Linked DNA regions of Cricetulus griseus. Each later gene encodes a partner of the first gene's protein in a complex. Links are inferred from orthologs where the notes say so. Each region holds a gene or a part of one and is shown on either strand. Other genes may lie near its edges.

What was found.
Region 2: the proteins of Nfkb1 (region 1) and Txn are in contact, whole or in part, in an NMR structure (PDB 1MDI), measured with the Homo sapiens proteins. The link is inferred for Cricetulus griseus from reciprocal best matches to the Homo sapiens genes NFKB1 and TXN. Residues at the interface, in NP_001158884.1 of Homo sapiens: Arg56, Phe57, Arg58, Tyr59, Val60, Cys61, Glu62, Gly63, Pro64; in NP_003320.2 of Homo sapiens: Thr30, Trp31, Cys32, Pro34, Met37, Ile38, Asp58, Val59, Asp60, Asp61, Gln63, Ala66, Ser67, Val71, Lys72, Pro75, Ser90, Gly91, Ala92.

What each region holds. Positions count from the first base shown.
Region 1 is NW_023276806.1:23,875,205-23,878,715, reverse strand, and holds part of Nfkb1 (nuclear factor NF-kappa-B p105 subunit), read right to left. Parts: intron 1,693-3,511; coding exon 1,601-1,692; intron 269-1,600; coding exon 130-268; intron 1-129.
Region 2 is NC_048595.1:85,908,575-85,912,561, reverse strand, and holds the start of Txn (thioredoxin), read right to left. Parts: upstream 2,806-3,987; 5' UTR 2,673-2,805; coding exon 2,649-2,672; intron 1-2,648. UniProt on the Homo sapiens protein: Participates in various redox reactions through the reversible oxidation of its active center dithiol to a disulfide and catalyzes dithiol-disulfide exchange reactions.

The DNA of each region.
Region 1 (3,511 bases):
TTCCAGTACCTTCTTGTCTCTAAAAATTAAGCACTTTACATCCAGGCAGCACTGTCTAGGAGGCTGTGTAAAGGAGGTGAGCCGCTGAGCTTTCAGAGCAAGCGCCAAGAGTCTAAACAACCCAGGTACCTTTGATTTCAGGATAGTAGAGGAAGGGTTTCGGTTCACTAGTTTCCAAATCCGATTTCCTCCGAAGCTGAACAAATACGGAAGCTGGTTTTGTAATGTTGACATCCTTATACTTTGGAGTTTTGAAGACAATGGCAAACTGCAGGGGACAAAAAACCCAAACATTGGTGTAGTACATTTGCTGTCTAGTGGGGGTGAGCAGAAGGCGCATTCCCGATGCATACATTTGTACTCTAAGCTTAAAAAAAGTGTGCTAAGACCCAGCCCCTGGCAAAGTTCCAGTCAGTATGTTACGCACATACAGGGTTTCTCTCTGTAATAGTCCTGGATATCCTGGAACTCACTCAGATCCACCTGCCTGCCTCCTAAATGCTGGATTAAAGGCGGGCGCCATCGTGGCCCAGCGTACATTTTTATTATATTGCCCCCATGAAAGTAAAACACAACAGTATGCCGGTTAATTATCTTAATTAACACATCTTAGTTATTTCTCTTTCAAATTAGCCTTAAAGGCCTCCAAGATCATTCAGAGCAGTGTGTGAAGGGCTGGGTTTGGAAGCAAATGGAACCAGAAGTACCACTGTCAGCTTGTAGCCGGCCATGCCACAGAAAGCAGTGCTGTGCTGGAGGCAACATGTGTTAATTCTGGGTAGTTCTGGGACAGTTAGGTACCGGGCATCCTTAGTTTTGTTTTTTCTATCTTTATATTCACAAGGATCAAGATTTCCTAAAACACAGAAGGAATACAGTGGCACACACTGAGAATTCTTCTTGCCTCCCTACCTCCGATCCATGTACCTATTCAGTGCAGATTCCTGGGGGGCTCTGCGGTTACTTTCTCTGGCTTCCTGTGCATGTGAACCCTGAATTGTTTTGTATACACTATGTTCTCAATCAATCTTTACAAGTCTCAGCATTCTACTTTGAGGTCTCTGTTCATCCACAGACGCCCTTTTTCTAATGACTGCATGACATTTCACCACATAGAAGCACCCCATTATCTAGCCATTTACTGGTGAATGTTTGGGCTGTCGATAATTTCTTGAAAAACATCATTCCTCAGTCACCCTCAAAGAGTGACTATTAATGAGGGGCCGTTGGAGACCCTGGCTCGTCAGAGTGGCATCCGCCTCAGCCTTCAGACTCCTCAGTACATTTCCTTTTTTCCCAGGCTTTGCTGGAATGGTCAATACCTAAACATTTTCATGGGAGGAACTGGGGCCATTGCCTTCAGGACCTGAACAACAGACACCAAATGAGGCACCATGCCAGGCTCCCTGAGCCAATATTCTAGCAGCACCTTGCCCGCAGTTCTATGGTAAGGTACTCCTCTGGAAGAGCCATAAAAATAGCATTGCTGTACTGATGTTAGAGACTTATGGTGGTTTCCTTTTCAATCTGTGGAGACGGAGCACTGAATTTCATCAAGGCAGAACAAGTACTGAAATTAGACCGGTGACAACCCACCTACCTGTCTGTGAACATCCGTGGGGGAAAAGTCTCCAAATCCTTCCCAAAACCCACCATTCTCTTCCTCCTCATAAAACCGAATCTGGATGTCATCTGCAAATGGTCACATTCAGGCACGTGATTGCAACGGGTGTAATAATGTTGACGAGCATGCTAGCAAATACAGGCAGGATATAACTCTGTCTCACTTAAATGTAAATGCTTTGAAAAGAATTCGGAGCAGATTTGCACCATTTAAAGTTTCACAGATCAGACTCTTTACACATTATTTACTCCAGGAAAGGGAATCTACCATTTACTCATAGTGGTATGAGTATTATATTTACCCAGTCCATTAAGCTTTGTCTTTGTCAACATATGAACTTCCCACTGTTCCACACTTAAACTAGTTCACTTCTGGGAAACTTGAAGGATGGAAGAGTAACAGAACCCGTAGGTGTAACTCAACCCAGTATGGAGATGTCCATTGTAAAACTTGAAATAAATGAAGCTTCCCACACGGCAGATGCTGTCCTAAGTGCTTTATCTTAAATGTTAACTCATCTAGTCCTCAAACCAGTCCTGCGATGTAGGGATACTAATGCTGTCCTCATCTGCAGACGAGAATCGGGGTCTATGGGTGTGTGCACATGCGTGGGAATACCCATGTATAGCAGGAGCACATCCAGAGCTCAGAGGATTAATGGAAGGTGGCTCTCTCCTTCCACTGTGTGGATCCTGGGGATTGAACGAAGGTTGTCAGGCTTGACAGCAAGTGCCTTTACTAAATTCTGTGCCATCTTGTCAGCCCCAGATTGTGTCTTCAGTAGGTTATCTAAGGTTGAATAGCTAACAGATGAAGGACTCAGGATGTAAACATCATGGATGCCCAGTCCTAGCTCTTACATGCTCTACTGGACCACCTCCACACATTGCTTCCTCATGCCCTATCAAGCAACTGGTTTAAGTACCATGATGGCCATGTCTTCTTATGATGAAACCACGTTGGTTTGTTTGTTTGTTACTCTCTAGTCATGGACTCTAGTTCTGTAGAAATATGACATGTACTTCTCAGTGCATATGAAGGACCATACTACTGACTGGTGAAAGTTGATATTGCTTATATATATACATATATATATATACATATATATTATATATATATATATTGATCTCATATATATACATACATATATATGTATATATGTATATATATGAATTGAATAAACTATCTCATTATCTGGCCCAATTCTTTACTTTGGATAGACAGGTCTATCCTAGATTTAGTAGAACACCTGTCATTCTCATGGTCTGTCTCCCTTTATCCCACCTCTTACCCTTTTCATTTTACTTATGCATGTGACAGGAAACTGCAACCGTATTGTGATAGTAACATTCAGCTTATCATGCTTTTATTTTCGTTGTACAGTGTGGCGTAAACTCATGGGTCACTACAAATGCTGACCATTTTAACAGCACTTCTCACAAGGTTTTCTGTTCTTTGGCACCTCTGCATAACCACCAACATGGCTCACAGAGGGGGCTACGAGCTCCTGTGACTCAGCACCTCCTCTAGGCAGAGGGATCTCATGCACAGATACCTCAGAGCCAGGACCATGTTTGGTGACAAGTTATGTTTCGCCTTCTGGTGGCATCTTTTATTAGGAAGTCTTCCAGTTCTGGGAGGGAATGAGGAGGTCTGGCACACTCAAGTGTGGGGCCAGCTTCACATTCTGGAAATGGCCTTGGCCATTAAGGGCTGGGCCTGGGAATACCACACCATGTCTCTCCAAGGTGTGGCTTGCCATTCCTAGTTGTTTCTCCCAGGGCAGGGTCTGGCACCCAAGGGTGGGTTCTGAGCACATTTTCTTAACGAAGACTGTAGGGGGAACGCTGTGTGGCCAAGTCACTGTGGCAGTATGAAATAGATTGT
Region 2 (3,987 bases), on another chromosome or scaffold:
ACCACGTGGGTGCTGGGAATCGAACACCTGTTTTCTGAAAGACTGCCAGTGAGTGCTCTTATTCTCTGAGTTTTCTCTTCTCTTCAGTCCTGAGCACTTACTTTTCTGGCTTTTAATTTCTACCTCATATTTTTCAAGGAAAATAATCAACCACATATCATTTCTGAGAATAGTACAGAATGGCTATGACAACTTCTAAACACTGCCCTAGTTATACAGGTCTATCAGCCCATATCTGGGTGTGAACACAGCTAAGTGTTAGGGTCAGGAGGTGGGACTATAGTGCAGAGTAAAGGAAACCACCTTTCCAAACCACCGCTGGTTGTTGCAGACAAATTCCATACAAAACCTTCCCTTACATGATTACTAAAAAGGCCACACCACCCATTCTTTACTGCAGGACACAGGGCAAAGACGGCATGGCAGGCTGGTCTGACAACACCCACAAATGGAACATGACTGATCCTCAATAAAAATTTGATGACACTACATAAAAAACAGGATGAACTTCATTTCAAACACTCTCAAGGTTCCCCTGCTACCCAATGGCTATGAATGAAATTCAAGTAAAACTACTTAAAACTCTGAAAAAAAGAGGCTTGCAACCCTAATTTCTGGCTTCAGTGAATATGAGTTACAGAGATGTGTAAACTTCACAAATAAGATCTCTTCTCCAGATGTGTAAACTTGCCTGAACTGGCTTGAAGAGTATTCAAAATTGTCTAAGAAGCAAATCACAAATTTTAGCTTCAGAAACTAATAATCCATCACAATTAGGAAATGGTTCCATCACTGACACCGATGATCTGAAGAAAACAGTTGGAGTAGTTAGAAGCAGTTGCTTTGATCCCTCTTCTCAAATATTCCTAGCTCAGGGGCTGGCAATGTGACTCAGCAGATTAAGGTGCTTGCCACAAAAAGGAGAACTGAGTTCAATACCCAGGATCCCCAAGACAGAAGTGAACCAACCCTCCCAAGCTGTCCTCTGACCACCACAAGTGAATGCCCCACCCCTATACGTAAACGGAAAAGAAAGCAAAACAAAAGGCCCCAAACACAAAACCAGCCCAAAGGTAGCAATACAAAGTGTTCTTTGCTTTTTGAGACCGGTTTCACTCTGTAGCCCAGGACAGGAAGGTGGTGATCCTCCTGCCTCAGCCTCCTGAGTGCTGAGAGCCATGAGCCAACACCCTGGTCTAACATAGTCTGTAAAGCACTGAGCAGCATGCCTTGTGTGTAGTTCAATAAATAGTTTTAGTCTTAAAAATAAACAAAGCAAACCAACTGTTGATTTTTTAGCCCATCATCCCACTCCTGTCTGGAATCAGGGACCCTTAACTAACCGTACAGTCCATACAGTCCTCAGAAACACATGGTTAAACCAATCAACTTAAGCCCACCAGTATAACCCTAGGTGTATTCAATTAATCTCTGATTCGGGGCGACTCTGATCAGAGCCTTGTTAATAGGCCTTTGGGGCCCAAGGTTTTTATGAATAACTGGTTTCCTGTCCCCAATGCACACCTTTTCTACTGGAATGGCAAAGGTCCCATAAGTAAGACAGTTTAAACAGGTAAGGACCTAACTGGGTGCTGGGTCGAAAACGACTGATAGTGGGTGGATTCTGAGCAAACTCATGTACTGAGACCCACCCAACCAGGCCCGAACAGCTCATAACTGGAGGCGTGGGTCTGCCTTCCTTGGGCTCCCCTAGTTAGCTAGGTTAACAAGTTAACTAGGTTACCTTGTGAGAGTCTTCCAAACATCAATTCCCACCACCGCCCCTTTCACTTTCCACTTTACAAATATTCCCCGAGTAGTTACAGTGTAACAGGCTCTGACTTTCCCAATCTGGAGGATATTTTGGTTCTCAGTAACTTTCAAATATGGCAACAGTTTTTCCCTTAGGTATTTTTTTCTTTTCCCAAATGGCAAAACCTGGACTTTGTAGTGGACTACTCCCTGGGAGGAACAGAGCCCTGGTTCCAGCAAAGCCCACTTACAGCGGGTGAATCACTGAAATCTTAGCGTAGTGAGGCCCCTGGGCCCAGACATTGGGGACTGAGTCATTCCAAAGCTAGCGCTGCCGGAAACACGCCCTGAGCTGCAGGAGGAGGAGGAGTCCCACAGGCGGGGCCTGGACCTTTCTCCTTCCTAGTAGTTACCTGGAGCACCTGCCCGAGGGTCTCCAATAGGTACCGGCCCCCGTGCACCGACCGGGCACTGGTTCTCTAGGCAGTGGACCACTGATGGAGGCAAACTCCGGCCTAGCCCTGAGGCACAGGACACCCCGCGTTGTGTATGACAGTGTACACGCGAGGAGTGGCGGCTCTCATTTCTTCCCTGAGACTCCGAATCCTGGTTCAGACGGGGGTTCACCCAAGGACCCCCTCCATCGTTTCACCTCCGCCAGATTAGAGCTGGCGGTAAGGAGAAGGCTGGAGGCTGCAGGAACCCAGATCGGGGAACCCAGGTGCCGCCAGCGGTGCACCTCCGGTACCCGGCGTTCCAGGGTCTCCCCGTCCCCTCCCCCAGGCGTGCTCTACAAGCCCAGGGCGCGCACAGGCCCCGGGCCGCTCACCACGGGGATACAGAAGGCGACCAACACAGCACACGGCGGGGTGCGCGCGTCGTCCGGGCACGCGTACCTTGCTCTCGATCAGCTTCACCATTTTGGCTGTCGCGGGGAGGAACCACACGAGTTTCTGTAGGATCGGATGGAAGCGGATCCGAGATGCCTGACGGATCTTGCGGCGGATCGAGGCGCCCGCCTTCTCTTTATAGCGACAGGGCGGAGCACGGCGGGGCGGGGCGGGGCGGGCGGGCGCGTGCAGCGGGGACGCGCTCCCTGGCCTCCCGCGCCCGCCAAGCCGCCTCGGCAGGCCACACCTAAGCCACGCCTCCAAGAGGTGGAGCGGAAATCAGGTTTCCAGGGGGCGGAGCCACAGCCGGCTACTAGAGCAGCTCCGGTACTTCCCTAGTGATGGCCCCGCCCATGTCTCCTCCCTCTGCGCGGCGGAAAGCTGGCCTTGGTTTACAGGGGGAGAGGCTAGCGCAGGCGCCTGGAGCAGCTTCGGGCTCCCAGACACCGCCCTGCGCTTACACAGGGAAGTAAGTGTGCGTCCAGTTGCTCTAAGGGCATTTTCGTTGTGCACTACGTAGGGAGGATGCTCATAGTCCCCTCTCACAATCTGGAGTCCTTCTAGGATCACATTGGCCAGGCCCCAAATAGACCTAAGTCAGATACTTCCAGACTGGGCCTGGGGACTGCCCAGGCAGAAGTGTATCCTTCGACCAGGGCGGCCATGCTGCGGTTCCGCCTCAAAGTGCTGAGTAACGATGACTAGGAAGTGTCTCAGTGCACTCCTTCCCCTCCTTTCTGGAGATTTCCCTGTCCCTTCTCTCCCCCCTCCCCTTCCTATTCTTTAACTTTCGCGGGTGAACCTGCTACTGGAGAGGGACAGAGTCCTTTAGTGCCCTTTTTTTGTGCCCCATGCGCATGCGGGCATAATGGACATCGGATTGTCTAGTTCACAGCGTTGTCTCGAAGGATTTAAGGGCTTGAAAACTGACGAGGACAGCGCTGGGCACATAAGGAAGCACTCAATAAATGATTCTAATTATAGTCATCGTGAGCGCTAATTAAGCTTGCGTGGTGCCATGCCGGCCTTGCTGAATTTGGCTGCCTTGTATTTACAATGACAGTGTACATGCATTGCAGAAATTGTTCTGCCTTGGGAGACGCCAGGAAGAGTGTGTGCCAATGATAACTGGGGTGATGTGCAGGAGGAAGCTAAGACATTGTTAGGGTGGCTTTGTGCAGCCCGAAGCTGAGGTGGAGACTGGACAGAGCCAGCAAGCTGGGAGGATGTTTGCCAAGGCTGCCTTTTCAGAGCTGAGCAGATCTAGATAAATATGCATCCAGAGGTGAAGAGCTGGAGATGGTGAAACCGTGTCCCTGTCTCAGTGCCCCTACCACCACCACCA